Linked DNA regions of Sus scrofa. The protein of the gene in region 3 purifies or fractionates together with the protein of the main gene of each other region. This does not show direct contact. Links are inferred from orthologs where the notes say so. Each region holds a gene or a part of one and is shown on either strand. Other genes may lie near its edges.

The links.
Region 1: the proteins of EGFR (region 3) and ATP2A2 purify together in Homo sapiens (affinity purification with mass spectrometry; 4 studies listed by BioGRID and IntAct, with this or other methods). This does not show direct contact. The link is inferred for Sus scrofa from reciprocal best matches to the Homo sapiens genes EGFR and ATP2A2.
Region 2: the proteins of EGFR (region 3) and KPNB1 purify together in Homo sapiens (affinity purification with mass spectrometry; 3 studies listed by BioGRID and IntAct, with this or other methods). This does not show direct contact. The link is inferred for Sus scrofa from reciprocal best matches to the Homo sapiens genes EGFR and KPNB1.
Region 4: the proteins of EGFR (region 3) and UGGT1 purify together in Homo sapiens (affinity purification with mass spectrometry; 3 studies listed by BioGRID and IntAct, with this or other methods). This does not show direct contact. The link is inferred for Sus scrofa from reciprocal best matches to the Homo sapiens genes EGFR and UGGT1.
Region 5: the proteins of EGFR (region 3) and EPN1 purify together in Homo sapiens (affinity purification with western blotting; 3 studies listed by BioGRID). This does not show direct contact. The link is inferred for Sus scrofa from reciprocal best matches to the Homo sapiens genes EGFR and EPN1.
Region 6: the proteins of EGFR (region 3) and MET purify together in Homo sapiens (affinity purification with western blotting; 6 studies listed by BioGRID and IntAct, with this or other methods). This does not show direct contact. The link is inferred for Sus scrofa from reciprocal best matches to the Homo sapiens genes EGFR and MET.
Region 7: the proteins of EGFR (region 3) and TUBA4A purify together in Homo sapiens (affinity purification with mass spectrometry; 3 studies listed by BioGRID and IntAct, with this or other methods). This does not show direct contact. The link is inferred for Sus scrofa from reciprocal best matches to the Homo sapiens genes EGFR and TUBA4A.

What each region holds. Positions count from the first base shown.
Region 1 is NC_010456.5:31,681,652-31,685,517, forward strand, and holds part of ATP2A2 (sarcoplasmic/endoplasmic reticulum calcium ATPase 2), read left to right. Parts: intron 1-3,373; coding exon 3,374-3,478; intron 3,479-3,866.
Region 2 is NC_010454.4:23,914,223-23,918,592, forward strand, and holds the start of KPNB1 (importin subunit beta-1), read left to right. Parts: upstream 1-1,560; 5' UTR 1,561-2,057; coding exon 2,058-2,097; intron 2,098-2,199; coding exon 2,200-2,258; intron 2,259-4,370.
Region 3 is NC_010451.4:139,420,604-139,424,469, forward strand, and holds part of EGFR (epidermal growth factor receptor precursor), read left to right. Parts: intron 1-1,553; coding exon 1,554-1,688; intron 1,689-3,866. UniProt on the Homo sapiens protein: Receptor tyrosine kinase binding ligands of the EGF family and activating several signaling cascades to convert extracellular cues into appropriate cellular responses.
Region 4 is NC_010457.5:59,262,182-59,266,527, reverse strand, and holds the start of UGGT1 (UDP-glucose:glycoprotein glucosyltransferase 1), read left to right. Parts: upstream 1-1,474; 5' UTR 1,475-1,667; coding exon 1,668-1,725; intron 1,726-4,346. UniProt on the Homo sapiens protein: Recognizes glycoproteins with minor folding defects. Reglucosylates single N-glycans near the misfolded part of the protein, thus providing quality control for protein folding in the endoplasmic reticulum.
Region 5 is NC_010448.4:59,788,609-59,792,992, forward strand, and holds the start of EPN1 (epsin-1), read left to right. Parts: upstream 1-1,514; 5' UTR 1,515-1,620; intron 1,621-4,384. Other genes in the region: U2AF2 (splicing factor U2AF 65 kDa subunit), read left to right, coding at 32-166. UniProt on the Homo sapiens protein: Binds to membranes enriched in phosphatidylinositol 4,5-bisphosphate (PtdIns(4,5)P2). Modifies membrane curvature and facilitates the formation of clathrin-coated invaginations. Regulates receptor-mediated endocytosis.
Region 6 is NC_010460.4:29,447,282-29,451,147, forward strand, and holds part of MET (hepatocyte growth factor receptor), read right to left. Parts: coding exon 3,772-3,866; intron 755-3,771; coding exon 524-754; intron 1-523. UniProt on the Homo sapiens protein: Receptor tyrosine kinase that transduces signals from the extracellular matrix into the cytoplasm by binding to hepatocyte growth factor/HGF ligand. Regulates many physiological processes including proliferation, scattering, morphogenesis and survival.
Region 7 is NC_010457.5:121,290,963-121,295,374, reverse strand, and holds the start of TUBA4A (tubulin alpha-4A chain), read left to right. Parts: upstream 1-1,326; 5' UTR 1,327-1,459; coding exon 1,460-1,462; intron 1,463-3,248; coding exon 3,249-3,471; intron 3,472-3,783; coding exon 3,784-3,932; intron 3,933-4,181; coding exon 4,182-4,412. UniProt on the Homo sapiens protein: Tubulin is the major constituent of microtubules, a cylinder consisting of laterally associated linear protofilaments composed of alpha- and beta-tubulin heterodimers.

The DNA.
Region 1 (3,866 bases), on a different chromosome or scaffold from region 3:
CTTAGCAGTAAGTGAAGTACAGTTGATCTTCAATTTGAGTTGTAGCATTTAATTCTTAAGGTTATTTGTGAGGTTTTGGGTTTTTTGTTTGTTTTTTATGGATGCACACACAGCACATGGACGTTCTCAGGCCAGGGACTGAATCCAAGCCACAGCTACAGCAGCGCTGGATCCTTTAACCCCCTGTGCCTTGCTGGGGATCAAACCTGAACCTCCACAGGGACCCGACCCACTGCAGTTGGATTCTTAACCAACTGCACCACAGCGGGAACTTGCATTTGTGGGTTTAAATATAGATAATTTTTGGAGTTCCCTAATGATCTCATGGTTAAGGATTTGGCCTTGTCACTGCTGTGGCTGGAGTTCTGTCCCAGGTCTGAGAACTTTTGTATGCTATGGGTGTGGCAAAAAAAAAAATTTGTTTTTATTTGTTTGTTTGTTTACTTTTTAGGGCTGCACCTGTGGCATGTGGAAGTTCCCAGGCTAGGGGTTGAGTTGGAGCTGCAGCTGCCAGCCTGCACCACAGCCACAGCAACATTGGATCTGAACTTTGCCCCCTACACCACAGCTTACAGCAATGTTGGGTCCTTAACCCACTGAGCGAGACCGGGAAGTGAACCCTCATCCTCATGGATACTAGTTGGGTTCATAATCCGATGATCCACAATGGGAATTCCAAGAAAAGGATTCTTCTTCTTTTTTTTTTTTTCCTGTCTTTTGTCTTTTGAGGGCCGCACCTGCAGCATATGGAGGTTCCCAGGCTAGGGGTCTAATCAGAGCTGTAGCTGCCCACCTACACCACAGCCATGCTAGATCCGAGCCATGTCTGCGACCTACGCCACAGCTCATGGAGGTGCTGGATCCTTAACCCACTGAGCGAGGCCAGGGATCGAACCCTCAACCTCATGGTTCCTAGTCAGATTTATTTCCATTGCACCATGATGGAAACTCCAGAAAAGGATTTTTTTTTTTTTTTTTTTTTTTTTTTTTTTTGGTCTTTCCTGGGGCCGCACTCGCAGCATATGTAGGTTCCCAGGCTAGGGGTTTAAGCAGAGGTGTAGCCGCCGACCTACACCACAGCCACAGCAACACCCAACCCTAGCCGCATCTTCCACCTACACCTCACAGCAACGCTGGATCCTTAACCTAATGAGCAAGGCCAGGGATCAAACCCACAACCTCATGGTTCCTAGTTGGATTCATTAACCCCTGTGCCACGATGGGAACTCCAGAAAAGGATGTTTTTTAAAGTAGTTAGAAAATTACTAGTTGTCAGTGTTTAATAGGTTCAGTTCTATCCTTCCAGGCTGAGAGATTTGTCCTCTAGTATCTCATCAAGCAGTAACTATACATTCAGTAATTCTACAGAACCTTCAAATAACTATGCATTCCTGTGTTTCTTACACATACACATTTTAAAATTCATATTGGAGGAGTTTTCCATTGTGACGAAGTGAGTTAAGAATCTGGTGTTGTGTGGTATAGGTCCCAGCTTTGGCTGAGATTTGATCCCTGTCCCTGAGAATTTGCTGCAAATGCAGCCAAAATAACAATAATGATAATAATGCAGTGGAAGAAAAGTCTACTACATTGTGCAGGTGAGGGTTATTGCATTATTGATGAATACCACTTGTGCAGATGAACCACACATTTCATGAAAAGTAGAGGTTTGCTTTGGTAATCCTGTCATGCTTGCCTTAGTCTTTTCCTTTGCTCTAGCTGGTAGGGGATATTGCTTTAAGTTTGTTCCTCAGGCTCAGCTGCCAAGAGGGAAATTCATACCCACTTTAACAAGGTGTGAAGCTTATCTTACAGTTGCTAATGCCTCACTGACCTTTTGAAAAGGTCTTAGTTATTCTTCAAGTTGAGCAATTTTTCTCCCCCAAGAGCTAATTAAGTTTCTTATTTCTGATATGCTCTCCTTGGCAAATATTTGGAAGGCTAGTGTCAAAGCAGCTGTGATCTTGCATCTATCAGTATTTATAACTTCCTAGAGAAGTTTTTATTCTGGCATTAGGCCTAGCCTTAACACCAGGAATGCCCTGTTGAAAGCTTTGAGCAACATTTATATTCATTCTGGTTTTCTGCCTGCCCTGGTTCATTAGCTGTTAGCAGTGATTGGCATCTATCAGGACCTAGTTCTTGTGTTTCCTGGTTTTTCTCCTGCTTAAATTGATCTTTCTTGTGTTGGTGGTATAGTCGTGAGCATACCTGCCCTCCAAGTTGATATTTCTTGTTAATTTATCATTATTCTCTTTTACTTCCAAAATTCAGGTTGGGCCTTGCCTTAATCATCTTTCTGGTTTGCTGTTTGTGTCAAAGCTCACTTTATAGTATTCTACTAAGTATAAAAGTAGTCAGATGGCTTCATTATTATTATAAATCATATCTGACAATATTAAAGAGTATCAAAAATGGTGCTTCCATTGTTTACTGAATAGATCTTTTAAAATATTTTATTGTGAAATATGCAAACATCCAAAGCAATGTTAAAAGGCAGAGGCACACACATCTTACCTCTCAGGTTGAATCCATTAGATATGTTTAACGTCTTTTCTGGATTGGCAGTTTCCCACAAAAATTGGTTGTTGAAATTTTAACCATTTATATGCCTCTTTTAACATGTTTTTTATTATTTTCAGATACACCGTGTTAAATTCTTTCTCACAATCTTAGGCTTGCTCAGTTATGAAGTACAGTGTGACTCTCAACTTGTAGCTTTTAAATCTGAAAGTTACAGTTGTGTGAGTTAGAAGTTAATTCTTTGTTCATTTTTCTTGGGACAGTGTTCTGGGCCCAGTTGTAACATTTTGGGGCTTTTATATCCTGAACTGTTGTATTGATACACTAGATGTCATAACCTTCAAGAGAGATTCCTGATCACAGAACAACCTTGCAGTAACACCACTGAAAATAAGTGGGACATTAACAGTTTATATATCTAATTTTGAGTCAATGGTCAAATTGTTTTTGCTATGAATTTATGCCATGTGAGCATTTATTTGATAGGAATGTTAATCAAATTAACAAAATTTGATTGCTTTTTACTTTAACAAAATCAGGAATGTTTTCTTTATACACATATAAAATGAATGGGGTTTAGTTCCCCAAAAGTACTTGTTTAGGATTTTAAAACAATTATTACATTAAAAAAGGCTCTTAAGGATATTATTAAGAAGTTTATAGTTTTGAGTCTTAAGAATTATTAGGAAAAAGATATGTGTTGTTTATGTCATTACATTTTGCTACCATTTGTTTCTAAGGATGGTAAGAAAAGAGATTTTTTTATCTTGTAATTGTTTCATGCCGGCCACTTTTGTTGTAAAAGCCTAAGAACATACCACAATTCTAATGTGTGCCATTTCTCTTACAGGTTTTGGCTTGGTTTGAAGAAGGCGAAGAAACAATTACAGCCTTTGTAGAACCCTTTGTAATTTTACTTATATTAGTAGCCAATGCAATTGTGGGTGTATGGCAGGTAAGAAAAGTTCCTTCAATGCTAAATTTTGATAATATGTAAGTATTTAAACTTTGTTAGTCTTTCTGTTATCTGTTTTTCCTGCTATGTTGACTAAAAATATCTGTGGAACTAGATGTGGTTTTTTTGCCTATTAGTTTATGTAGTGTCAGTTTTATCCCTCTCATGCATACATACTTTGCTGTTAAAATTGCTTATCCTTCATGGCAGCATGAAGTGGATGAGAGAAGCTACCTGGGTAAAATCAGAAAATTTGAGAACCAGTAGCTCCCATTGTGGCACAGCGGAAACGAATCCCACTAGGAAACATGAGGTTGTGAGTTCGATCCCTGGCCTCGCTCAAAGGGTTAAGGATTTGGTGTTGCTGTGGTGTAGGCCGGCGGCTGTA
Region 2 (4,370 bases), on a different chromosome or scaffold from region 3:
CTTGCAGCTTCAGAACTCAGATATTTCTTTTTTTTTTTTTTGGCTTTTTGTTATTTCTTTGGGCCGCTCCCGCGGCATATGGAGGTTCCCAAGCTAGGGGTCTAATCGGAGCTGTAGCCACTGGCCTATGCCAGAGCCACAGCAACGCGGGATCCGAGCCGCGTCTGCAACCTACACCACAGCTCACGGCAACGCCGGATCCTTAACCCACTGAGCAAGGGCAGGGACCGAACCCGCAACCTCATGGTTCCTAGTCGGATTCGTTAACCTCTGCACCACGACGGGAACTCCAGAACTCAGATATTTCTGATAGAGAAAAATGTCTTTTTTTCTTTTCTTTTCTTTCAAGGATTAAAGGTAGCTGGCCAGCCTTTCCTAATTTTTAGTTGGAACTTCACAGCAAGGCCAGAGTTGCTCTTAGGTTTTCCCAGTATGGCTAGAGTAGGGCAATTATTTCAGAAGCTCGAGCTAATGCAGAGAAGAGATCTGTCAGCTAGCTACATTCTATTAACCCTAGGTCAATATGGTGAAAATGTAACCATTCAGCAACTTCTTCACCTGGAGCCCATTCCCAATCTAAAGGGAAGTCCAGAAATTGTATGCACATTTTGCTAAGGAAAGGCTTTCATTAGTTTGTCTCAGGGCTTATAACTAAAAAAAGGCGATCTTTTAGGGCTGTACACACATTTTCTCTGGTACACGGTTGTGCCTTTATAGAAAAGGTACCTTCCAGGGTGAAACATTTCTATTCCTTCAAGTACCCGAGAGCTTATGGATGAGGGTTTAAGGGGAATCCAAGTGTCCACCCCACGTGTTACGTCTCACAACAGCACAGGCCTCAAACTATACATATGTCCAAAGGGACTGCTTTTGCATTCACCCCCTTGGAGGTGCTGCGTGTAAAAGCCACGGTAGTCTGGAGTGCTTGAGTCCAGTCCCAACCAGGCCACTAACTGGCTGAGTAACCTTGGACAAGTCGCATACCCTCTCTGGCCTTCAGTTTCCACATCTGCAAACTGGAAGTTGAACGGCATGGTCTTCAAGGTCCTTCCCAACCAAGAGTCTGGTACCAAGTAGGCCTAGCCATTAAAGCAGCTTCCTGTGGGTGCGGTGCAGTTTTAACGGTCCCCCCTCCCCCGCTCGAGCCCGCGAAACCCTCTTTAACACGCCCCTCCGAGTGACGGCGCTTCCCAACCTCAACCCGGACACGGCTCCGCCCCTTCCCGGGGGCGTCCCATCGTGCCCCGCGCTGGGCTTCTAAAGCAGTGGGGCACCTCCCGCCTTTCCGCGGCCCCGACCCCGAACTCTTCTCCCCAGTTCTCCCGGGTGCCCTATCCTATCAACGTCTAATAGCCCAGCCAATCACGCGGGCCTACAGTCTTACCTTCGGTCCACCCTCCTCTCGGCGCCCAGCCGGCCTGAGCTGAAGGCCTTTACCAGGCCAACCCAATCAGCGGCCGGCTCTGGCCTGCCCCACCCCAACCTCCCTCCCCTCGGCCAATCCACGCGCTCCATCCCACTGCCCGCCCAGCCAACCCGGGCCTTGAAACCAGCCGGCGAATGGGCGCAGGGCGGCCCTTCAATGCTAACCGCCTGGCCAATTGGGGATTCCGCGTGGCCACGGCAGTGGCCAATCGACATGGAGCGCGGTGCCGCCGCGGAGAGGTCCGGCCCGAATATCCCTCCGCCTTCCTCCCTCCCTCTCTCTCCCTCCCTGCGAGCCGCCGTTCACTTACCGCCTCCCTTCCCTTCTTTCTCCCTCCGCCACCCGAGCACCAGCCGCGCTCAAAGCTGCCCCCGGGGTCCCTCCCCCGCCGCCAGAGGAGCAGCTGCTGCCGCCGCCAGCAGCAAATTAGGAGGGAGGAAGGAAGGAAAGGAGGAAGGAAAGGGAGCTGGAGCGACTACCAAGAGGGAGCCAGTGAATGGGATTGTGGTGACCCCCGCCCCCCACCCCACCCTCCCTTCCCACCCGACCCCCAACCCCCATCCCCAGTTGGAGCCGCCGCCCGAGAGGCCGGACAGCAGTCTTAAGAGGAGTCGCCGCCACCACCTCCGCCATGGAGCTGATCACCATCCTCGAGAAGACCGTGTCTCCCGGTAGGACGCGGGGGCCGGGGGTCGGGCTGAGGTGATTGGGTGGGGGGAGGGGAAGCCCTGGCCCCTCTGACCTGTCCCTTTTCCCACTTTCCTTCCCCCCAGATCGGCTGGAACTGGAAGCGGCGCAGAAGTTCCTGGAGCGTGCGGCCGTGGAGAACCTGGTGCGTGCCACCCCGCCGTCCCCCATCCCGCCCGTCTCCCCATCCCCTGCGTGCGGGCCTTCCCGCCCTCCTGGAGGCCCAGGCCTCGGGAACCCACCCCGCCCCATCCCGTCCCCCTCCCCCTCCCCCGGTCCAACCTAACCCCTCCGTCGGGAAGCCGGTGGGTGTGTCCCGCCCCGGGCCCCGGCACCTGGCCAATGGCGCGGCGCGCCGGGGTGACTGCCGCCCAATCGCCGCGCGGCCTGAGGGCGGCGGTGCAGCAGGAGGGAGAAAGAGCGAGGGAAGGGAAGTTAGGTTGCGCGGCGCTGCGTGTTCAGCAAGGGTGGGGGTGGGGGAGCCGGGCCTAGGGGCCATGTGGAAGCTCCGAGCCCCGCTGCCCGTCCAGTTCGGACCCCGGCCTCCTCCTCCTTCCTGTCCTGTGACCCCTATGATTCTCTCCACCTACTTCCCAGAGCCCTACCCATTCCCTTCTCCCTTGGTCTGTGCTCCTGGCCAGGCCTGCACCCAAATCCCTTTTTACCCATTCCGGCAATGTTTTTCCCTTTCTTGACGGGTTATTCCTCTCCAGGGGAATTTTTTCCCCCGGCCCCGATCAATAGAGACTTCATCTGCACCCAGATAACAGGCTGAGGCTTATCCTTGAGATCGGGCCTGTTTCCAGAGGAAATCATAGAGGAAAGTTCCTCGTTTTTCATGGTTTCAAATTTAGGGGGTACAGAAAAAAAATGAGTGTTAAGTCCACTAGAGACTGGACCTCTGTATAAAATCGAGAGATGGATTGACTGAAACAGCCTATGTGCCAGTAATATTTCTCCTTGGATTCCCTCCTCCTGTTGGGGGGTGGGGAGCAAAGAGAACGGTGGATAATACGTCTCTTAAAGGTAATAGGTAATAGATCTAAATAACACTGTAACCAAATGTGTTCTTTTGTGTTATCTAGGCAAGCCAAAAAAAAAAGTGACAAGGCGTTTTTTTATTTTCTACAAACTGCCTTTGAATTGTCTTGGATTTTTTTTTCCCCCTTACACGTTCTGGTTTTTACCATCAACCTTTTTATACTTAGCTTTCCATAGAAAAGATTTTTATCTACTAGCATAGACCCATATTTCCGTTTAATGTGTATTCCTGTTTCTGCTTTTGCTAAAGTAAGACGGCTTTCATCTTATTCCTAGCATTTTATCTTATTCCCATCATTCTTAACATTCTTTAGTGGTACCTAATTAATAAAACTTAAGAATTATCTTCCGCTGTAACTGCAGAACTTGTTAGTGGTAAGAAACTATCTGCTTTTGGTTTTTCCTGTTAGCTTTTCCATTGGAGAGAGCTTTTTGTGGGGAAGAAGAATGTGTGTTAAACATTTTAAACAAAAATAGTAGTTTTGGGGGCCTGTGCAGTACGAAAGATTGACTATTATTTTCAAGAATCCACTGTGTTTGGTGAACAACTGAGAACCAAAACGAATAGTAACCTTTAGTGTTTTAACTGTTGACTAGTAAACATAAAATTATTTTCCTTGACATTTTTATTTTCTCAGTTGCTCCCTATTTCTAAATATTTGTTAGCACATTTTCCTTGTAATTTTTTTTTCATTATTAGTCTCTTGCTGAGACACTATAAAATAGAGACAGCTAGCCTCCTAAGCCTGTGTTTTAAAGTTTTGAAGTACTTTTCTCTCTTCGATAAGATTACCTGCTTCCATGAGATCCCAAGCCCCCCTGAGTATCATTCTTTTTGGGTTAAGATGTTTTTAATCTAAAACAATTTTTTCTACTCTGTTATAACATATTTATGTAACAAAAATAATTTACGGAGTACCAAGTACTGTTCTAGATACATAGAAGAGTCTTCTGACCACCAGATTGCCAACTTGCTTTAATTCTGTGGAATTTAATGTGAAGATTTGGCACTCAGAATGATGTTAATAGGAGAACCTGTAACTCCGTGTTTAATGCTGAATCTGTGTGAGAAGGAGGATGACGTCCCTATGTACTAAGTAACATTTTTATAGGAGTCTTGAAGTAGATATTTTGACATTTTATGAGACATTATAATGTGTCCTTAAAAACTTGAGGTTTTCCCCATTGTTTCGATGCTTTCTTCCATCGGTGAAAT
Region 3 (3,866 bases):
CCAGTCCCCCCGTGCTCCTCCCCCAGTCCCCCCGTGCTCCTCCCCAGTCCCCCGTGCTCCTCCCCCAGTCCCCCGTGCTCCTCCCCCCAGTCCCCCGTGCTCCTCCCCCAGTCCCCCGTGCTCCTCCCCCAGTCTCCCGTGCTCCTCCCCCGGTCCCCCCGTGCTCCTCCCCCGGTCCCCCGTGCTCCTCCCCAGTCCCCCGTGCTCCTCCCCCAGTCCCCCGTGCTCCTCCCCCAGTCCCCCGTGCTCCTCCCCCAGTCTCCCGTGCTCCTCCCCCCGGTCCCCCGTGCTCCTCCCCCCGGTCCCCCCGTGCTCCTCCCCCGTCTCCCCGTGCTCCTCCCCCCGGTCCCCCCGTGCTCCTCCCCCCGGTCCCCCCGTGCTCCTCTGCCCTCTGGGAGCTGTGTCCTCCCCAGTGCCCTGGAGACTCTTCCCAGCAGAGCCCTCCTTCCACGGCCCCTCCGCTGTGCGATGCTGGGCAGAACTCAGGCATCCGCAGGAGAGGCGCAGTCATTGCATCAGCTCAGGTAGCGCCTGTAAACCGCTGGTGCCCTCCTGCTGGGGGTGGAGGCCCTCCGCGGATGTGAGGTCACTGGATGACCCGTCTCCCAGGAGCCAGCAGAAATCGTCCATCTTTGCAGACCCCATGGCCCTCCCCGCCGTGCTCTGTGTGCCTGAGTCACTAGGCAGATGTTTACATAAATGTCACAGCTGGAACAAGCCCTCTGCTCAGGCTCAACTTTTCTTATCACTCCTGACTCTTCGCACCATCAGCTCCTTTGAACAGCTAACTGTCCTTTACGCCTTTGCAGCCCTGGTGCCTGATCTATCTAGGTCACAGATACTTTTTTTTTTTTTTTTTTTTGCCATTTCTTGGGCCGCTCTCGTAGCATATGGAGGTTCCCAGGCTAGGGATCAAATCGGAGCTATAGCTGCTGGCCTACAACACAGCCACAGCAAAGTGGGATCCGAGCCACATCTGCAACCTACACCACAGCTCACGGCAACGCCGGGTCCTTAACCCACTGAGCAAGGCCAGGGATCGAAGCTGCAACCTCATGGTTCTTAGATTCGTTAACCACTGAGCCACAGTGGGAATTCCTGGTCACAGATACTTCTTGCCCCCTCCACCTCACACCCCTTTCTCCAATGAGATGCCACAGAACACCTGCCAGCATCTCCCTGTCCCTGCCCGCCCCTCCCATTTGCCCTTTCTCATCTGCATCACATAGTCATTCCGGGCCAGCCTCCCCGAGAACCACCAACTCACTGCGCACTCATCACTTATGCTAAGAGGCTCAAGCACTGGCCTCCTTCCTCCCTACATCCCTAAATTCTGGCCGTGCGTCGTTCAAGGACCCGGTGCAAGGCCATCGTGACCCCTCCGTGGAGTGGAGCCTCCAGCTTCCCTCTCACCCCCCCTGCCGGGAGTTCCATGGGGAGTCTCCATGCCAGCTGCCATCCTTGTAGCCGAAGGCAAACTGGAGAAATGCAGGCATATTTCACGAGTGTTTAGAAGGGGGGCACGTTTTCTCATGGGGTCCTTTCTCGCACAGAGATCCTGCAAGGCGCCGTGCGCTTCAGCAACAACCCTGCCCTCTGTCACGCGGAGTCCATCCAGTGGAGGGACATTGTCAACAGCGACTTTCTAAGCAACATGTCCATGGACTTTCAGAGCCAGCTGGGCAGCTGTAAGTGTTCCCCAGAGCCGCCAAGGTGGGCAGAGCGCGGAGTGCTGGGGTGGGTGTCGGAGAAGGCTGAGTTAATGCTGAGTTACATTCATCTGAAAAGTAAGTAGTCAGCAGATTGTCTGCTTGCTGGAAGAGCACCTGTTTTAAGATAGAGGGTCAGTTAGCACCCTTGCTGGCAGACCACCCCCAGGACAGCTGAGCCGCTGTGTGGCATTGAGAAGAGCCTGCCAATCAGTCATGGCCCTCGATGGCTCCCCCATCCTGTTGAGGAGGCCGATCAGGCTCTTGTGTGTGTCTGATTTGCTTCTGAGCCTCTGCTTGGCACCAAGCCTTCTAGAACTGTGGAGCTGACCTCTGCCCTCCTGCTGGGGGGCCTGGGCTCCCCTGCCAAATCGGGGAGCGCACGAGGATGAATTTGTCCACATGCGCCTCATGCCACTGTTCACTGTCAAGCAGCCCACGCGAGGGAGAGGCTGGTGGAGCCAGGCTGCAGGCCAGGGCTGCCCAGCCTGCACTGTTGGCGGTGCTGGGGGCTCTGAGAACACCAAGCCCCCCTCAGCTTGCTCCCTTCCAGCTCTTCCTGGCCTTTCAGTACTTGAAAATCAGGAGCCATCACTGTTTCTCACCTCTTTGCTTCCTAGGACCATTCCAAGAGATGCATGGGTTTGATTGGTTTGTTTTTTTTTTTTGGTCTCAGAATTTGGAACTGATATCGATCTTCAAAATCAACTAGAGCTGCTCTGTTTTGGGGGTTTTAAAAATTTGGTTGATGACTATGATAAAATTTCTTAAAATAAAACTTGCCATTGTAACCATTTTTAAGCATGCAGTATGGCAGCATCAGGTACATTCACACTGTTGGGCAACCATCACGCCATTCATCTCTTTTCATCCTGCAAAACTGAAACTCTGTCCCCACCAAACAACAACGCCCCAGCCCCTGCATCCGCCATCTCTCTGTCTCTGTGAATTGGACGGCTTGCATCGCACACCGTTTGTCCTTTTGTGACTGGCTTCTTTCACTGAGCACAAGGTCCTCCAGAGCCGCCCAAGCGAGAGCAGGTATCAGACTTTCCCGCCTTGACGTGGCTAATAGTCTTGCACCGCACGGACACTGGTACACGCACTCTGGTTTGTCCATTCACCTGCTGGGAGCACTTGAGTTGCGTCCATCTTCTAACAGTCGTGATGAAATGCTGCCATGAGCATGGGCATTGAACCCTTTTGTTTTGCGAAGATATTCTTCCAACAGATACCCAGTGTGGCACCCACCATGTCTGCAAGGAGCTGAAAGCTTTATTTTACAGGTCAAAATTTTGTGTTATCCAGAAATCAAGGTTAGCCTTTCCTCAGCTGTCTGATGGATAATGGAAAAGTTAAATTGTGTAGATTTATAATGAAAAAATTGACATGGCACGGCTTTGAAGTTAATATGGGTTTGCCGTGGACCAGATCAAGCAGCCCAAAGGGGTACACCTGGCCTCCCTGCCCAGTGCTGCAGGAAAGCCCTGGCAAGGAGGTACTGAGAGAGAACAACGGTGGACAGGTGTATGCAAATGTTACACAGCTATGAGCCGTAAACCAAGATAGTTTTGGTTTCAGAGTAGACATGTAAGAATAAGCCATAGAGAGTTAAGAATGAGACAATAAGAGAGAGTTCCTTTGTGGCTCAGCAGGTTAAGGATCTGGCATTGTCACTGTCAGGGCTCTGGTTATGGCTGTGGTGCAGGTTCAGTCCCTGGCCCAGCAACTTCCATGTGCCACAGGTGCAGCCAAAATTAAAACAAAACAAAACACAACACTTAAGACAGTAGGAATAAGCCTAACTCAATCACACGTCCGTAAAGAGGTAACATTTCAAACAAATAAGAAAATAATTCATTATTCAATAAATTGCTCTGGAATGATTTAACTACTAAGGGAAAAATATCAAAGGACGGAACTCAAGTACTTTTTTAAAGGAACTGAAGATATGAGGTTAGTCACACTGGAAATTACAAAACTGCCCTTCAGCTGCCACCTGTACTTTCCTCCTGAGCGACCTGATCTGCGACAGGTTCAAATCCCGCCCCACCCCATGGAAGGAGAAACCGCACCCTCAGCTGGTGCTTTTCAGGCCACAAATAGCTTCTGAGAACTTGTCTCATTTCATATTTACCCCCAAAAATCTCATAGGGT
Region 4 (4,346 bases), on a different chromosome or scaffold from region 3:
GGGACTTCACTGTACTATCTCTGCAACTTCTTGTGAATCTGTAATTATCTCAAAAAGTTAAAACAATTTTAAAAAATCTGTTTTTTGGTGAAATAAAATTGCACTGAACTTTCTGAGAAAAATTTAGCGAAACAGAAACTCAACTTTCTTAGAAATTCTGTACTATCACTTATTAACTAAGCAAAGGTTGGTGGTGTTTATACATCAATAGCAGAAGACCAAGTTAAAACAGAGAGTGAAAAGCTCTGTAAAGTGGTGAATTAGAAAACAATTCTTGGGAGTTCCCATCGTGGCTCAGTGGTTGATGAACCCAACTAGCATCCATGAGGACAAGGGTTCCACCCCTGGCCTTGGTCAGTGGGTTACGGATCTGGCATTATTATGAGCTGTGGTGTAGGTCACAAACGTGGCTCAGATCCCAAGTTGCTGTGGTCTGGTGAAGGCTGGAGGCCACAGCTCCTAGCCTGGGAACTTCCATATGCCGCTGGTGCAGCCCTAAAAGACAAAAAAAAAAAAAAAAAAAAGAAAGAAAACAATTCTCTTTTTTTGTGGAAAGCATCACATGAAAAGGGGCAAAAAACACACAATGGACAGCCACTAACACAAAATCTCCCTCAAGAAATAAACTTAAAATGGTCATTTCCAGTTCTTAAAATTATCTGCACTCCTTTTATTCCAGCAAGGAACTGAAAACCCAACAGTCAGCTAGAGGTTCTTAAGCACAGTACAAATTGAGGGGGGTGTTTTAGTCCTTGTTCTGTCTGGCATTCTCAAGGGAAGGACTGTACGCCACAATCGAGTCAGTTAAAATTGTACACTTTCTTAAATTACTTTTTAATGTACTTTTGGTTTCTAGTTCACTTTATTAGTTAAAAAATACCCTCCAAAGATGTATTCATATCTGGCGGCTAAAATGATCTGCCCAATGTCACATATGCTAAAACAATTTTACACAGATTTATATTTTCAAAAAAAAAAAAAAAAAAGAAGCAAAGGACAAAGTAATCATTGCAGATTAAGTTGCCACTGACCGTATAAAATAAGCTAAATCGTTTCATAAAATTTAAAAAAATCTTCCTTTCCCTTGCTCCCTGGAACGAAAGCTATCGAAATCTAAGGTTTAAAATAAAGTCGAAGATGCTCAAAAACATTGTCACTTTGTCCTTTACTGTGCAACAGCTTTTTTAATAAAGGGTTTAAGGAAGTAGACTTTGAAGCTCCTCCGAGTCCCAATCTGCAAAAAGTATGAAACCCCTTTCCGGTCGCACCACGTGGTGAAGCTTTTGGGTCTTAGCTGCCTGCCTAAACAACGCCCCAGGACTTGCAGACCCGAGCCTCCGTGGCTATACTAAACAGCTGGAAGCTACAAAAGAGGCGTGGCCTTCTCGGATGTAAGATGGCGGCCGCGCGACGCTCTGGGCGGTCCCCGCCGTGACTCAGTAGCCGGAAGTCCTCCGACTCCAGCCAGTAGGAAGCGGAAGTAAAGGGCGGTCGGCTGCTGGTCTTTAGCTTTGCGAGGCCGGCTTGTGAGCCGAGCCGCGGGAAAGGCGCGTGTCGGCCGCTCACTGGCGCAGCTGCTGCCCTCTCCGCAGCTGCCCCGCCCCACCCCGCTCCACCCTGCTCCGGCCTTGTCCCAGGTGCCGTCGCAGACGGAGCGCGGCCCCGGCATGGGCTGGAAAGGGGCTGCGGGCGGCGCGTGTGCCGCCGCTGCGCGGCCGGTGACAGGTACCCCTTGGGTGGCGTGGGACGGTCTCGCGGTCAGGAGAGGGTCTGGGGCACGAGGCGATTCCGTGTCCCGGTCACCTTGCGCTTCCGTTTCTTCCCTGACTCAGTTTCCCCTCCCGTGTCCCAACCTTCCCCCCTCAATGCGAGTGACCCGAGTTATCCCTCAGTGTCTTCTGGGCAAGGTATCGTTTGTGCGAGGGTAGCCGCAGGCTCTCTCTACCCCTTTGAGCCTTCATAGAAGAGCTTGGAGACCCATGTGCTCAAGTGCAGACGCAGGTGGGGGAAGTGCCCTGACATGCATTTAGATTAAGCCTGACCCTAAGTAGGTTGAGAACCAGCAGTTTGCAGGACCCCGATAGGAGAACGAACGGAACTTTTTATAGATTTCTCTTTTCCCTAAAATGAATTCAGGTGCTGAATATAGGTTGCCGTTTTCATTTAATACGAGGATCCGTTGGCTGGAAATTGGATGATCCGGTTTCACTTTTAGTGTGGGACCTGCCAGAGGAGTAAGATCTGCGTACATCGCCAATAAGTTATGGGTGTGAACTGTTCATGTTCTTTGGCCAGAAACTCTAGATTGTTTTGCATTTCTTGCCAGATTTGAGAACTAGCATATTTTGTTCATTGGAGGTCGTGGGGTCTTATGCCTTCCTGTGCTACACTATTTTGGAAAAATTCATCATGCGCTTGGCTGTCCAATTGTAGTGTGATGTTTGAAGACATTTTAAATAGCTATATGACAACACTACAAAATTTGGGATAATTATAGCCTTTCCATTTGACTTGCTTTTGATGAACTTAGCTGAAACTCATTTTTATTAAAGGAAATAAACATTGCTTTGTACAGTACCATGGCGTCTTCACAATGCATGTTTAACTTGAGGGAAATAAACTGGAGAAAATTCTATTAGACTTTTTCTCCAGTTACTGGTGGTCGTTTTCATATCAGATATACAATATCTCTTTTTAATTGGAAATTAGGTGTTTTTGGTTCAGGGCAAATGAGTTTTGCTAAAAGGTATAAATGTATATTAAGTTTAATTATTTCAGAAGTAAGTTTATTTCTCAAGAGTGAGTACTTCCTAATATTTTCCCTCGCTCTTGTCATACATGTTGAAACTCAGATGGCTGTTTTTTTACTTGGAGGGTGCAAGTGGTTTTTTTAAAATTTTATTTTAAAGCATTTGGTAGCTATTTTCTTCAACTTAAAAATGGAGAAAAAAGATTGGTACTGATTAGAATCTTATGCCTCTTCTGTTTTCCAAAAGTGAAAAACATTTGCCATAATATAACTTTGATAAGTATTTCTGATATCTTACTGTAGATAAATGAACATGGGATAGTATCTTTAATTTAAACTAAAGAAACTGGGCCACACACTCAATCTTGCAGATGATACATTTGGGCCCAGAACTTATTGAAGACTTTTTAATTTGTCCATCATGGCATAAGCATTATGCCTATGATTATGCAGTGCCACATTGCAGATTCTGACAGCTGTCATTTCCTAGACTATTCCTTTTTATAAGCAACCTTTAGTCAGGACCACTAGGGTCAGGTTGATAAGGGGTCTTTTAAAAGGAAGGTATCCTCAAACAAAAGGCCCCTCGGTGAGGTTCTTACCTTCTGCTCCTCTGGACAGCCTTTTCTTCTGGTGTTATCTGTGGTGTCAAGGATGTGGGGTCTGGATGGGAAAATTCTTCTTCAATGTATAGCTTTCTTCCCTTTCCCATCTCTAATGGTGCTATGCTGTGTCCGAAGAACTTTCTGTCTCTTTAAGACAGAGCGAGGGGATCTCTGGGTGAGTCATGGTGCTTATTGTTTTCATTTTCACTCTTTTTAAGTCCTAGGTTTTCGGTAGCATCTTTGCTTGTGGTGCCACCTTCCACTGGCTTTCACTCATCCCTTAATGAACAGTCTGTGTTGATTTTATTTTCAGTGCCTCCTGTGTTCCAGGCATTTTGCTAGGCATGTGACTGTGGCAGACAGAACTCTCTGCTCTGGAGGAGATCACATTTGGTCCCCAAAGCCAGCCCAAGTGTGGATCTGTCAGTGGTTGCTAGATTTGGTTTAGTCCCAACTTCAGACCCACACTGTTAGTGTTAAGATTGAAACTCTAGCTCTCTCACCCACCTGAGTCTGAAGGACTCTGCCTGTAGAAAATCCTTGGACTTACCTTGGGTCTCATAATAAAGCCCTTTGCTATGTCTGGGTCTCCACAGGATGAATTCTCACTCCTTCTTAAAGCCGGAGAACCAGGGCAGATAGCATGCCATTGGAGAACTTTGGAAAACAGGCAAATGTGGGTTCCAAGCATGGCTGTATATTATTTGGTCAAGTAACTTAGCCTCTCTGAGCTTCCATGTTGTTATTTTTAAAGTGGAGATGCTCCTGTGTCACCATTATGCAGCCTATTTATGGACCATCTGCTGTTTGCCAGGCACTGTGCTGTTCGATGTGGTGAACAGAGTGAACAAGGCTGCACCCTCAGGAGCTGCAGTCTCCTGGGCCATCATTTGGAAGGGCGGGGAGCTGGTGTTTGCAGAGCACTGGCAGTGGTGCTGCCAGGAGTGTAATTGCTCTGTAAATGCGGGCATTTCCACGGGGCCTTCTGACAC
Region 5 (4,384 bases), on a different chromosome or scaffold from region 3:
GGTCTTCACACCTTGGCTCTTGTTCCCGCAGATCTTCGTGGAGTTCACCTCTGTGTTTGACTGCCAGAAAGCCATGCAGGGCCTGACGGGTCGCAAGTTCGCCAACAGAGTGGTTGTCACAAAGTACTGTGACCCCGACTCTTACCACCGCCGGGACTTCTGGTAGAGGCGGCGGGGGAGGGCAGGGGCAGGGCTGGCTGGGGGCTTCTCCCCCTCCCGCTCCCCCTCTTTTCCCCCTCTGAAGACCATGGGCAGAGGAGTGACAGCCGAATGACAGAATGACAGCCTGACAGCCGGCAGCAACTGGAATGGCAGCAATTAAGGGTGGGGGGTGGGGTGGGGCTTGGGGCGGGGAGGGACGGGGGAGTGCTCACACAGGCCCACACAGATACACACACAGAGGGAAGGGGGGGGCGGGGTGCGCAACAGGGCTGGGTCGGATCCCCACGGCCCCTCTCCGAAACAGTCTTTCCTCCCTTACACTCCCTTTCTCTTCCTCCTCCCACCGTAGAAACGTAGCGTGTTTATATTTTATGGCCAAACTATTTTGAATTTTGTTGTCCGGCCCCAGTTACGCTGCCCTCTCCCCTTTCAGGACCACAGCTCCCGTCCTCTTGGCCTCTGGTCCTCTCCGCGGTGTTGTCCTTGGTTTCTTATGTAGCTGATTCTTTCCACTTTAGTTTCTCCAGACCTGCCCCCCAGCCCCGTCACCCCGTCCCTCTCCTACTCTCTGTGGCAGTTTCATATTTGCTAAGACGAATTTGCTCATTAAACATTTTGTTGTATTTTACTTTATGGAGCTGCTCTTTGTCTGGTGTATGTAACCCCCACCCTTCCATTTCTCGGGGTTCCTTTGGCCTAGGCTGAGGCGTCGGTCCCGGAGGCCCGGCAGTCCTCAGCGTCACCCCGGCCACGACGCCCCGGCGCCCTTGGCACGCTGCAGGTGGCACACCCCGCCTGCGTGGCCTGCTGGTCCAGGAGGACGGTGTAGGGCGTGGCCCTGGAGAGGAGGGTGCCGAGCCCGCCTGAGGTGGCGGGTGGCGGCGGCGGGAGCCGTCTGGGCTCGTGGGCCCGGAGCTCAGGTCGCCCCGAGGGTCCGGCACTGGCGTGCGGGGGCGGTCTGGGGACAGCGCGGCTTCCCGGTTCGGTCGAGCGCGCCCGGCGGCCCCGCGCTGCGCCCCGCCCCTTTCTGTGCGTTCCCGGGGTCTGGAGGCTGCGGCGGCAACCGGGCGAGTGGCGCCTGACGACGAGGTCAGCGCGCCGGAAGTGACGCCGCGCGGCCAGGTGGGGGCTGGGGGCTGGAGTCTGCGCAGGCTTGCCGCCGCAGAGGGGCGACCGGGCGGGTCGAGCAGCCACTTCCGCTTCCGGTCCATCGCCTTCGGTTGCTTCCCGTCTGTTCGGTGGCTCCCCTCCCCCGCCCGGCTCTCCGCGCCCTTCCCGGGCGGCGGGGCGGCGGGGCCGTCGGTGTGCGGTCTTCCGTGTGTCCGCGCGTGCGTCCAAGCGCGGCTCCGCATCCACCGCCCGCGGCCCGGCGCGCGCCCAGCGACACCGAGGCCGAGCGGGGGCTGGCTGGGGGGCTGCCCGCCATGACCCCCCGGAGCGCGGCTTGAGGGGGCCCAGGTGAGTGCGGGCGGCGGGCGGCGGGCGGGCGCGCTCAGGCGTCTCCACGGTCTTTGTGTGTCTGCGCTGGGCCGGCCTTGGACCGCCCGCGGCTCCGACTCTCCCGCGTCTCTGTCCGCGCCTGGGCCTCCCGCGGGCCTCCGCCTGGGCCTCGCTGCCGCTCGGGTCCGTTTCGGTGCTTTTACACGGCGCTGTCCTTGCTTGTCCGTGTCGGGTCTGGTTCTGCGTTTCTGTCGCATTTCAGCGTGTGATGGGCAGGATTAGTGTCCGTGTCTAGGCTCCGCAGCTGTCTCCGCTCTGTCTCTGTGCATCTCCCCCGGCCCGCCGTCTTCCCCTATTACTTCTGTCCTGGTACTCTTGTCCTCCAACCCCGACTCCCTCTCCGGGGGGTCTGTCGCTTGGCCTAGGATAACCCCTTCCCCTGGGTTCTTGAGTTCCGAGTGATGAAGAACCCGGCTGTGGAATCAGAGGCCCATTTTTTGTAAGTCTGTAATGTTTGTCTGGTAATTCATCTCCAGGCCACAGTTTCCCAGTCTTTAAAGTTAGGGTATTCAGAGTTCCTACATAATAGGGCTGCTGTGATCATTCACCAAGGCAAAGTGCCCAGCCCTTGTGCATAGTAAGTGTGTGGTGAACTGCTGGGAGCTCTGGGTTCCGTTATTATTACTTACAGATTTTCTCTTGCATACACTTAACGTGGGTCATTGGAGCACCCCTTGGAGAATTTTGCGGTATCGCTTGTCTTGTATTTAGTTTAATAATTATTTTTGGGTCAGCTCATTTTGGAAAAACCTGTTTTCCTCCTACATAGTATCTGTGGAGTCTTAGGTTTGCCCTGTCAGTTGAATGTTGCTTCAGTACACTTGTATAAATACACGATGTTAAGATACCACATTTTTTGATGCCTCCCTTTTGGAAATACTGTTTTTTTTTTTTTTCCCCTATTAAAACAGCAGCCAACATTATTGAGCTCCTGTTATCTGTGGGGCGCAGTGCCAAGCACTTTATGTACCCATTGTATTTAATCAACAAGCCTGCCAGGTAGAAATCCTTTCCTTCATTTAAGAGTTGAGCAAACTGAATCTCCAGAGGGCCAGGATTTCATGTTCTTTCCTTTCGCTCCCATTTTCCTTGTCTCCTTTTTCGCAGTCCCAGCTTACTGCCTCTTTTATCTTCAGGGCCTCTGTCCTTGCTCTTTGCCTGCCTACCCCGCTGTCTCCCCATGTTCCTTTATCTGTTTTCCTGTGTCTTTTGTCTGCCCAGGCTTCTCCGTGCCTCTTTCTCCACCTTCATGCCCTGTCCTCTTGGTCTCCTGTTCTGTTGGTCACATCAGCTCTTGTTGCCAGTGTGTCCGGCTGGGCCTGTCTTAGCATCCAGGCTGTTGCTTTTCAGCTGTTCACATCTGTCTCCAAGTGCCTGGCTCTCCTGCGGTCAAGGCAGGGGCCAGCTGCCTCCCCTGGGACTCCGGTTGGGGGAGGTCTCCGTCTTGGGCTAGCATGTTGGGCGAGTCCGTGGATGGTGTGTGTGCCCAGAGCCTGCTGGGATCGAGGCCCGTGAAGCAGGGTGAGGGGCGGACCACCGTCTGCCTCGTTTCCTCCCCTGTGAGGTGTGGGGCGGAGTTACGTCTCCAGGTGTGAGGCACTGAGAGGCACACCTGGCGCAGGCAAAGGGCTGTGATGACCTCACTCGCCTGACCCCTCCTTTGCCTTCTGTTTGTTTCCCATCGCCTTCCTCTCAGCACAGGTTAACTTAGACGTGTGTTTGGGAGCCACGCCGGCCTGGAGTTGAGTGTGCACTGCCAGGCCTAGCGTGTGACCTTGGTTGGGTCATTTAACCTCCAGAGCCCCATCGCCTCCTCTGTTCGAACCCTACCCGCCTGCTGTGTTTAATGAGATAATGCACGTCTTGTGCTCTTGCTCCCTGACCGCCTGGCACCAAGAGGGCGCCCGGCCCGTGGGCTGTGCTGTCCTTATCTCTCCTGCCCTGAGCCTTCCCACCCGTGGGACCCCCCGTCCCTCTGGCATTCCCTCCCATCCGTCTCTGCTCCCCTTGTCGGCCTCCCCCCGCTCTGTGTGTCCTTGTTTCTACAGTGGGTTCTGCCCCCCAGGCCCTGCTCCAGAGGTCTTTCCTGTCCTGCCTCCTTCTCTTCCTTCCTGTGCTGTTTATTGAGTGGCTCTTCCGGGCCAGCTCCTCTAATGGGAAAAGCCGTGTCCACAGCCCCACAGGGGCTCTTGGCGCGGCTTCAGCCACACAATGAAACGGTAGGAAAATCATGAGGAAGGAGTTCCTGCTGTGGTGCAGTGGAGTAAGAACCTGACTGTAGCGGCTTGGGTTCCTGCGGAGGCGTGAGTTCCATCCCCCGCCCGGTTCAGTGGGTGAAAGGATGTGGTGTAGGTCTCAGCTGTGGCTTGGATTCAGTCCCTGGCAGGGAACTTCCACATGCAGAGGGTGTAGCCACTTAAAAAAAAGAAAAAGGGAAGGAAAAGCACAGGGCGACTGAATCTGCTGTCAGGGTGGCCCTGGGAACGACAGCTGCGGTGTTGGGGTGGGTCAGGCCTGGGAGGTTTCAGCGGAGTCCTGTGGGTGAGTGGGGGGGCGAGTCCCCCGTGAGAGGGGGAGGAAGAGCGTGGGGACTGCCTCCTGACAGCACCCCCCCCCCCCGCCACCCCTCGGATCGCCGGCTTTTCTTCAGTTCTCTGGTTACGGAACGCAGCCCCATTTCCCAGAGGAGAAAACCGAGGTGCAGGAGTTGCTGGGCTGGGAG
Region 6 (3,866 bases), on a different chromosome or scaffold from region 3:
AATAGTCATTCTTCTTTGTATAAAGAAATTGGAGCGCATTGTAGAGATGATGTATGTTGCTTCAGATCAAGGGAAGGCTATAAATTCCCTGTCTTCTGATGGCGTTCAGCAGTGTACAAACTTCTATAAACCAGGGTTTCTTAGAATTAGTCACTATTCTCAGGGTAAAGAAAGATTGGAAGGAGATATAAGTAAAAATATTGGAACTTAACAGAATGGTTTTTAGAAAGAAGTAAAAGGCACCTTTCAAGAAACTATAGTTGTAATTATGAAAAAGGTGAGGAAGGAATGTGATTCATTTCAAATACATTTGGGAGATTATCAAGTTGTCTCCATGCACAGAGGCAAATCCCCATGGATGTGATTTGCAGGGCTGTATTTCTGCAGACAGAAATCAAGTGCTCTTGTTATCACTGCTCTGTCAGTTGCTTTTGCCATTGTCTAATTCCTAATCTGCAAAGGCAGAAGATAAAATGCTTACTGGAAAATCGTATTTAACAAAAAGCTGAGTGGAAATACTTACCTCTTCCTATGACTTCATTGAAATGCACAATCAGGCTGCTTGGCCCAATCACTACATGCTGAACTGCCTGGACCAGCTCTGGATTTAGAGCACTGAGGTCAATGTGGACGGTATTTTGCAGTAATGGACTAGATATATCAGAGTCTCCACTAGTTAGGATGGGGGATAGGTCTGTCAGAGGATACTGCACTTGTCTGCATGATCCATTCTGAGATGAGTTAGGGAACTGGTCTGCAAGATAAAGCAAAATTATTAGAAACAATAGTGAAATCTCACTTAGGAGAGACTTTAACAGTGGCAGTAAATTAAGAGCAAAACCAAATTTTAAATTCAAGTTTAAAGAAATAGTGTTTTTATCAATGAATAAGGCTAGGAAGACCTTTGCAAATGAATTGGTTTAATAAAATGATAAACTGGGAAAAGATACATGTGTATATTTAAAAAAATACTTATCGATTTTCCTTTAAGTATATTAAGTAGTAACTTTAAAAGATTTTTTCCCTCTTCATTTCCTTAGACATGTCTCTTTTAATATATAGCTAAAAGCTAAGCTTGGGGGTTGTTTTTTAATATACTATGTTCTTTACAGTGGAAGGCAGCAAAAGTAGTCAAGCTACTAGCTTGTGTGACAAAAATTCAACACAAATATAAGAAAATGAAAAAGAAGCCTTTTGAGAGATAAGTGTTTATTAATGGAATTAATTAGTATTGCTCAAAACCTATGTGGATTCCTGGCCAAAGAAAAATATGTATAGTGAAATATTATATACTGTATATAAATATACATACACACAAATGACTAGAAATATATAATGGCTAAGTTTTCAGGAGTCAAACTTTTTCCCATTAGGGGTAAATTCTCCATCATGTCGTGACAGCAGTATATCTAGTGTTACTGCTACCTAGATAAAGCAGGTTAGAATTGGGTTAGTGTGCTCTCTTCTCATTGCTTAGTTGAGGGCACTTGGAGAGGGACCAGATTAGCATTCCTTACTAGTTTATCTTTATAACCAAACCTCTCTAAGAGCCTCAGACAAGGTTCCCTTTTGCTGGGTGAATTTTTCCATTTCAGGGGTAAGGAATTGTGGGGCTGAGAATAAATTTCTTAATGCCAAATAGGGCAGAGAAACCACCAGTTGCTTCTCCCTTTTCCCTAGGAATCCGTACATGTCAAAGAAAGGACATTATGTCTGCAGGAACTGACTTGAAGATAAACTGGGATGGGAATTGAGATGTATTAGTATATAATGCCAGGAGAGGGGAGAAGCTTATTTGGGCAGGGGGCCCATAACCAAAAGAAAATATTGTTTGTTTGTAAATGAGCAGGAAAATCAGAATTTAAGAAAGGGGCATAAAAAGAAAGTTGATGGTACCCTGCCTATTCCTAACCCCACTTAAGCATTTTTAGTATTTTCCAGATTGGATGGTTTGGTTAAAATATCAATTTTACAGCAGTAAATCTCAACAGTCCTCCCAGAACAGCTCTGGGACCACCTGTAGTTATAGTAATTACTAGCTGGAAATTAGACAGATGAAACCTTAAGGAAAGGATGGAGACCATCAGGGGAGTGCTTGAGATGTTGAATGGGTAAGGGAAGGAAGAAGCCTAGCTGGGCATCAATTCCTTTAATACCAGAGCCAGGTTTTTGGAAACTTCCCCAGGGGATGGAAATGCAGATGAGCCTCCCTAAACTCAGTTTCTTTACCTTCATTTCTCAAACCTTTGCACCTAGAGATGAGGGTTCTAAATTCTCAGAGGTATAGATAGAGATTGAGGGATAGCCTTGATGAGGCACAGGAAAAAGTCCTCTAGCATGGAAATTCTACTGACCTCTGGGCTAAGTTCAAGTATGAGCACAAACCAATTTAAACCATCAATGTATGATTCTGGTGTAACACACAGAAGTCTAGGTCTGCATGAAAGACTGACAAGGAAGCTGTCCCCATCACATATAGAGAGAAGCTCTATAGGTGCCTCTTTATTAGGTGCTGGCTGTGCATTTCTTTATTATTCTCTTTGGATGCCTTTCCTTTGCCTATTTTATTTTTCCATGTCTTCAAGATGTAGGTTCAATGTAGGAAAGGAGATGAAAGTCAAGTTTCTTAGCAGCAATGATGACAGAGGTCTGGCAGGTAATGAGGCTGAAGGAAGATTTAGTATGCTTCTTTTAAAAAATTACTTCTGAACTTTAAAGATCTCAGATTAGAGCCGTTAAATGTGAATATAAAATAATAAGTAGGTCTAAATTTCAAAACTGTAAACTGGATGATTCGTCCATGTTGTTAAGGGCTTGAATTCTGAAAGGTGAGTGGAGTCATGTGGGAAAAGACAATACTATTAACAGCATCTATAGAACCCTCTATAGAACTAACATAAACTTGGAAATGTAAGCGGCAATAAGTGTTGAAAAAGTTAAAATGTTAAGTGCCTCATTGCTCTTGTACTTGTTTTGATGAGCAACTTCTAAGTTTTCCAGTATCCTCAACCATTTGTGACTCATTTTATTTGTCCAATGGTAAATATTCAACCAGGGAAATGGTTGTACTTGACTCACGTCCTGTAACTTCTAAAGATAATGGAGCAGATACAATACAGACATTTTGCTTTTACCAGGAGATTTTAAATAAAACAATGTGAAATGCTCTGGATAACCTGACCATTATTAGGCCTAGTGTTTCGCCAAACAGATGATGCTAAACCTTCCATTTTAAATAGCATAACTGAAGGTTTTTATTGGATGAGATTCAAAATATATTCAACTCTGGGATGCGGGCAAAAGGCTGAGTACTAAGAGTTCATTGAGAAGCCTTCAAAGGAGTGCTAAAGATATAATTTAAATGTTTGAGGATCAACAGGTAAAAAATGTGGCAGTACCAACTTCTATTTCAATAAATACAAGTTTCATATCTCAACTCTTCCTATGTTGTTAAAATGAGCTTCACAGCTGCTTAGCATCGCATTCATATGAAAAACACGTTACCTTTGCACAAATAATTTTAAAGTGAACCTTTTTGTGAGAACAGAGCTTAAAGACTCTAAAAATCTCATATAATATATAAATGAGTTCATTTTAGAATAAGAGCAATGTAACTCTATCAAATTAAATACTTCTTTGGCCAAAGAAGAGGTGAACACTTCTTTTATAATTTTATAAAAATATAAAGGCAAAACCAAAAATAAACAACAATGCTACAATCTACTTTGGTGTATGTATAAGTATTTTTCAGAACAGTAAACTGAAATGTACCTTCTGGAAAAGTAGCTCGGTAGTCTACAGGTTCACTTGAAACCATTTCTGTAGTTGGGCTTACACTTCGGGCACTTACAAGCCTATCCAAATGA
Region 7 (4,412 bases), on a different chromosome or scaffold from region 3:
TCTTGTTCTCCCAACCACATGGCAAGTCTACTGGGAAAAAAGACTTTGTCATCTTTCATTGCATCCCTTGCTACACCTTGCCTAAATAAGGTGTCAGTCAGCTATTTTGTTGGTAGAAAGTTGCCGTTGTTAGTTATTTTATCCTACTATGCTGTATACTCACCAGCCCTGGCCCTAAGAAACACTGTGATAGGAGAAGCAAGTGAGTCTTTTTCAAGTGACTAGTCTTGGAGACAGGTTTCTTAAGGATGTGCCAGTAGGCATATAGGGCACTTCTGATGACTTTCCCAGTGAAAGGAGACAGCTAGGAAATGTAAGGCACACAAAGGAAAGCAGACATAGATTGAAAAGTCCATTCCTGCAAGAAACAGAAATGAAACATAAAAAGAGGGAAGAGCTTCAGTGAAGACGTCCACCTGAGCGATGAGGGTGTTGAGATGCAAGTCACAAATCCTGCCCATGGTTTAGGGACAGAAGAGGATGGTAAAATCAAAATCAACCATAATGTCAGAATCTCCATTTTCTTTTTTTCCTCCTCAGAGTCAACAAACATTGTGCTATCTCACGACAACGCGTTCTGGGCGGAATCTTGTCTCCTCTTCACCGGTGAAGATGCCAAGGACTCGGTGAGGTTAAGTCACTTGCCCAAGGTCATATAGGGCTCCAGCAGGAAAGCGGGCAGGTGGCCATGGCGAGGCCCAGCTAATAGTGACGGCTCTGATGACGGGACCTCTGACTCGCTGGCAGTCGGCTAGCACTGGCAGATTCTGGGGGTCGGCCCTCGCTGACAGATTGTGGGGTCGGCTCTGCGGAGCAGCCGGAAGGATCGGCAACCTGGGGCTCAGGCTGTGCAGCTCCGGGTCCTCAGCCGCCCACAGGCATCGGCGAAGGCCAGCGGTCCCCGCCGGGGACCATCAGGCCGCGTGCGGCTACAGAGGGATCCTGGGGGACGGGCCAAAGCCAGGCAGTCGGCCGGAGCCTCCAGGGAGGCGGGGCGGGGAGGGCACTGGCGAAGGCTGGGTGCAGCCACTTTGGAAAAACAGCCTCTACGGCACCCGGCCTAAGTCAGAACACCTGAGCGACAGACGCCCGCATGATGCAGGTGCAGGCGAGACACGCCCTGGCACCGCGCCCAGCGTCCCAACCGCGGAGCTTGGGAGCTCGGAGTGTCGGCTCAAAACTAGGAGGGAAGGGTTAAAGCCCGGGTCGCTACTCCTAACCCACGTCCGACAGGTGAGCAACGCGGGCACGCTGAGGGGAGGGGACTCGCCGGGGCCCAACCCCTCACGGCCGCCTACCCTCCGGGGGCGGGGCCTCTGGGCCGCCCAGCTATTAGTGGGCGGTCGGAGCGCGCGGGCCCGCCCCCCGCGTATAAGAGCGGTGCGGCACTGCAGCTAGCGCAGTTCTCACTGAGACCCGTCACCCGGACTCTACGTGAGACCCACCGCCCGGACTCACCATGGTGAGTGCGGCCCCGCCAGCATCGTGCCTGTCCCACAAGTGTCCCCTCTCTTTCGGGGACCCTCCCTCCCGGGATGCTCGGGGCCCTCCATTAGGAGTTCTAGGTCTTGCGGAGGTTTTTTTTCTGGGGGGGGGTGCATTCTTTCCACCCCACCCCCTCCCCGTGACTTTGGGTGGGCAGCGTTGTCCACTTTCGGAGCCTGGGGAAGGAGGTGGAGTGGGGTGGGATTCTTCACTAGCAAATAGGAGTCCTCTGGAATCTCCTTCTGCTCTGCAAGCATTTGTGCCCTAACCCTCCTGGGGGGAGTCACGAGGTCCCGCGCCCAGTCCTTTCTGCCGGCGAGGGAGACCCGTTCGGCTGCCCTCGGCTCCTAGCCTCCCACTCACTCCCTAGTCCCTGGAACTAACCCAACACGTGCTCGGGGCAAGAAAGTGGAAAGGGGTCAGATTACCTGGTCCACCATCACCTTTTCCTCCGACTACGTGAGCATCCCTCCTACCCTCATGCCTCCCACCCGTGACTCAGCACCCCTCTTCTGAGCCTAGAGGGGTGGCAAGAATGGGGTTCGGCCTCGTGAGGCGAGCCGGACTCTCTCCAACAGGAGTCCGGGTGCGCGGACGGGCAGAGACAGCTGGCGCTGAGCGAGAGCACGGGCCGGGGCCAGGTTGGGGGGAGGGGAAAGAGGTGTGTGTAGGGGGTGGTATTTATAGCCCAGGGATGGGGGCCGAAATCCAATCCTCGCTTTCCGCTGGGATGTAACTTGGAAAGAATCTTAAAGGAGTACGAATGCAGGGCCGGAGTGCAGGATGGCGCTCACCCTGTCCAGGGCCAGGCGGGTTACCTCTGAGGCCTCACCGCAGGTTCCGCTTCCTCTTCTGGGTATTTGGAAACCGTCACCCCGCCATTTCGGTGTTGAAAAGGGAGGCTGCGCCGGCCCTGCAGCTGCACCGCTTTGGTTCTTCAGAGGTTAATTTCAGACTGGCAGGGATGAGCCTAGGGCAGCGAGGGCCCCAGTGCCCACAACCCTTATTGCGGGTGCCTGCCGTTTTTTGCTCTCTGCAATTTCAGTGCCTGCTCCGCAATGGATGAAGGTGGTGAAGATACCCAGAGTGTGGGGGTGGAGGTGGGGAGAGCAGCCAGATGGGATTGATCCCAGAGCCAGATAGGATTTAAAGTGGAGGAGGGCATCCTGATGGCTCATGTGGTCAGTTGATGCCAGACTGGAAGGCTGAGACACCCCTGCAGCCCGCAAGAATGAAAGGGGGCGAGGGTTATATGACATCCTAGTTGTTCATCCTCAAAGCAAAGAATTAATCAAACAGGGGACTTCTAGCTACACACATTCATAGTTCTGGAAGACCTTCTGTCTCTTCTGTTGAGAGCTGGTTTGTGGGAGTAGGAATTGGGAACAGCTGAAAGATCACTTGTCCTTGTCTCAGTTACTGCAGTGTTCGCCTGTTTCCTATGCACTCGCCCTCTCCGTCCTCCCCGAGTGTCCTATGAATGTGGCGGGAGCATGCGGAGCCCTAGCTCTTACCTGACAAGGTCCCCACGGAGAAGCAGGCTGAGGAAGTGGCCTGCCCTACTGGGTGCCCCTAGTTGGGAAGTCTTATGCAGGGGAGCCTGGGCAGGCTGCCAGCCTCTTCTGACCTCTGCCCAGCCCCAAGCCTCCACTTTAACCAACTGAGTCATCCAAACTGGTAGGTGATAGGGTGGGAGAAAGGCTCATGAGGTAAGGACTTCTGTATGTGGGGCTTATGCCGTGTCCTCCCTCTCTATCCTTCAGCGTGAATGCATCTCAGTCCATGTTGGGCAGGCAGGTGTCCAGATGGGCAATGCCTGCTGGGAGCTCTACTGTCTGGAACATGGGATCCAGCCGGATGGGCAGATGCCCAGTGACAAGACCATTGGTGGAGGAGACGACTCCTTCACCACCTTCTTCTGTGAAACTGGTGCTGGAAAGCATGTGCCCCGGGCAGTTTTTGTGGATTTGGAGCCCACCGTGATTGGTGAGAGGAAGAGGGGGGTGGAATGGAGGGAATGGAAAGTGACTCTAAGCTTCTGTCTAGAGTGAGGGTGTCTAGACCTGGCTTTCCTGGCCCTGAAAACCCCTTGCCCTGCTAGACACTAAAGAAGGCAAGTTGATAGCAGACTGGCTGGGCAGCAGGTCTGGGTTTCTCTCACCCACTGCTATCTCAGGCTGGCAGAAGCATGAGCTCTTCCATACATCTGACCACAGCTGCCAGGCTGGGGGAGGGGGGGTCTGTGCTGAGCCCCGCCTTGTGGTTTGTGCCCTAACGGTGTGGTTTATGTCCTTCCAGATGAGATCCGAAATGGCCCCTACCGGCAGCTCTTCCACCCAGAGCAGCTCATCACTGGGAAAGAGGATGCGGCTAACAACTATGCCCGTGGTCACTACACCATCGGCAAGGAAATTATTGACCCGGTACTGGACCGGATCCGCAAGCTGGTGAGAATTTGGGATGGAAGGGAGGGAGCTCTTGAGATGATGCTGGTGGTCAGAAACAGTTTTTTTTTTTTTTTCAGATCTGTTTCATGGGGTCATCTCTAATTGTACATGTGCCGGAGTCTGCTATGGCTATGGAACACTCATTAGTCTTACTTAGCCTTGACTCCTGAGGTGTTTTAGGCTTTTGTGGAGCCAGAAGATTTCCTCAGTGCTCTCCCCTCACCACATTGCTCTTTTCTTGCCTTTCAGTCTGATCAGTGCACAGGACTTCAGGGCTTCCTGGTGTTCCACAGCTTTGGAGGCGGCACCGGCTCTGGCTTCACCTCGCTCCTGATGGAGAGGCTCTCTGTTGACTACGGCAAGAAATCCAAGCTCGAGTTCTCCATCTACCCCGCCCCGCAGGTGTCCACAGCCGTGGTCGAGCCCTACAACTCCATCCTGACCACCCACACCACCCTGGAGCACTCAGACTGTGCCTTC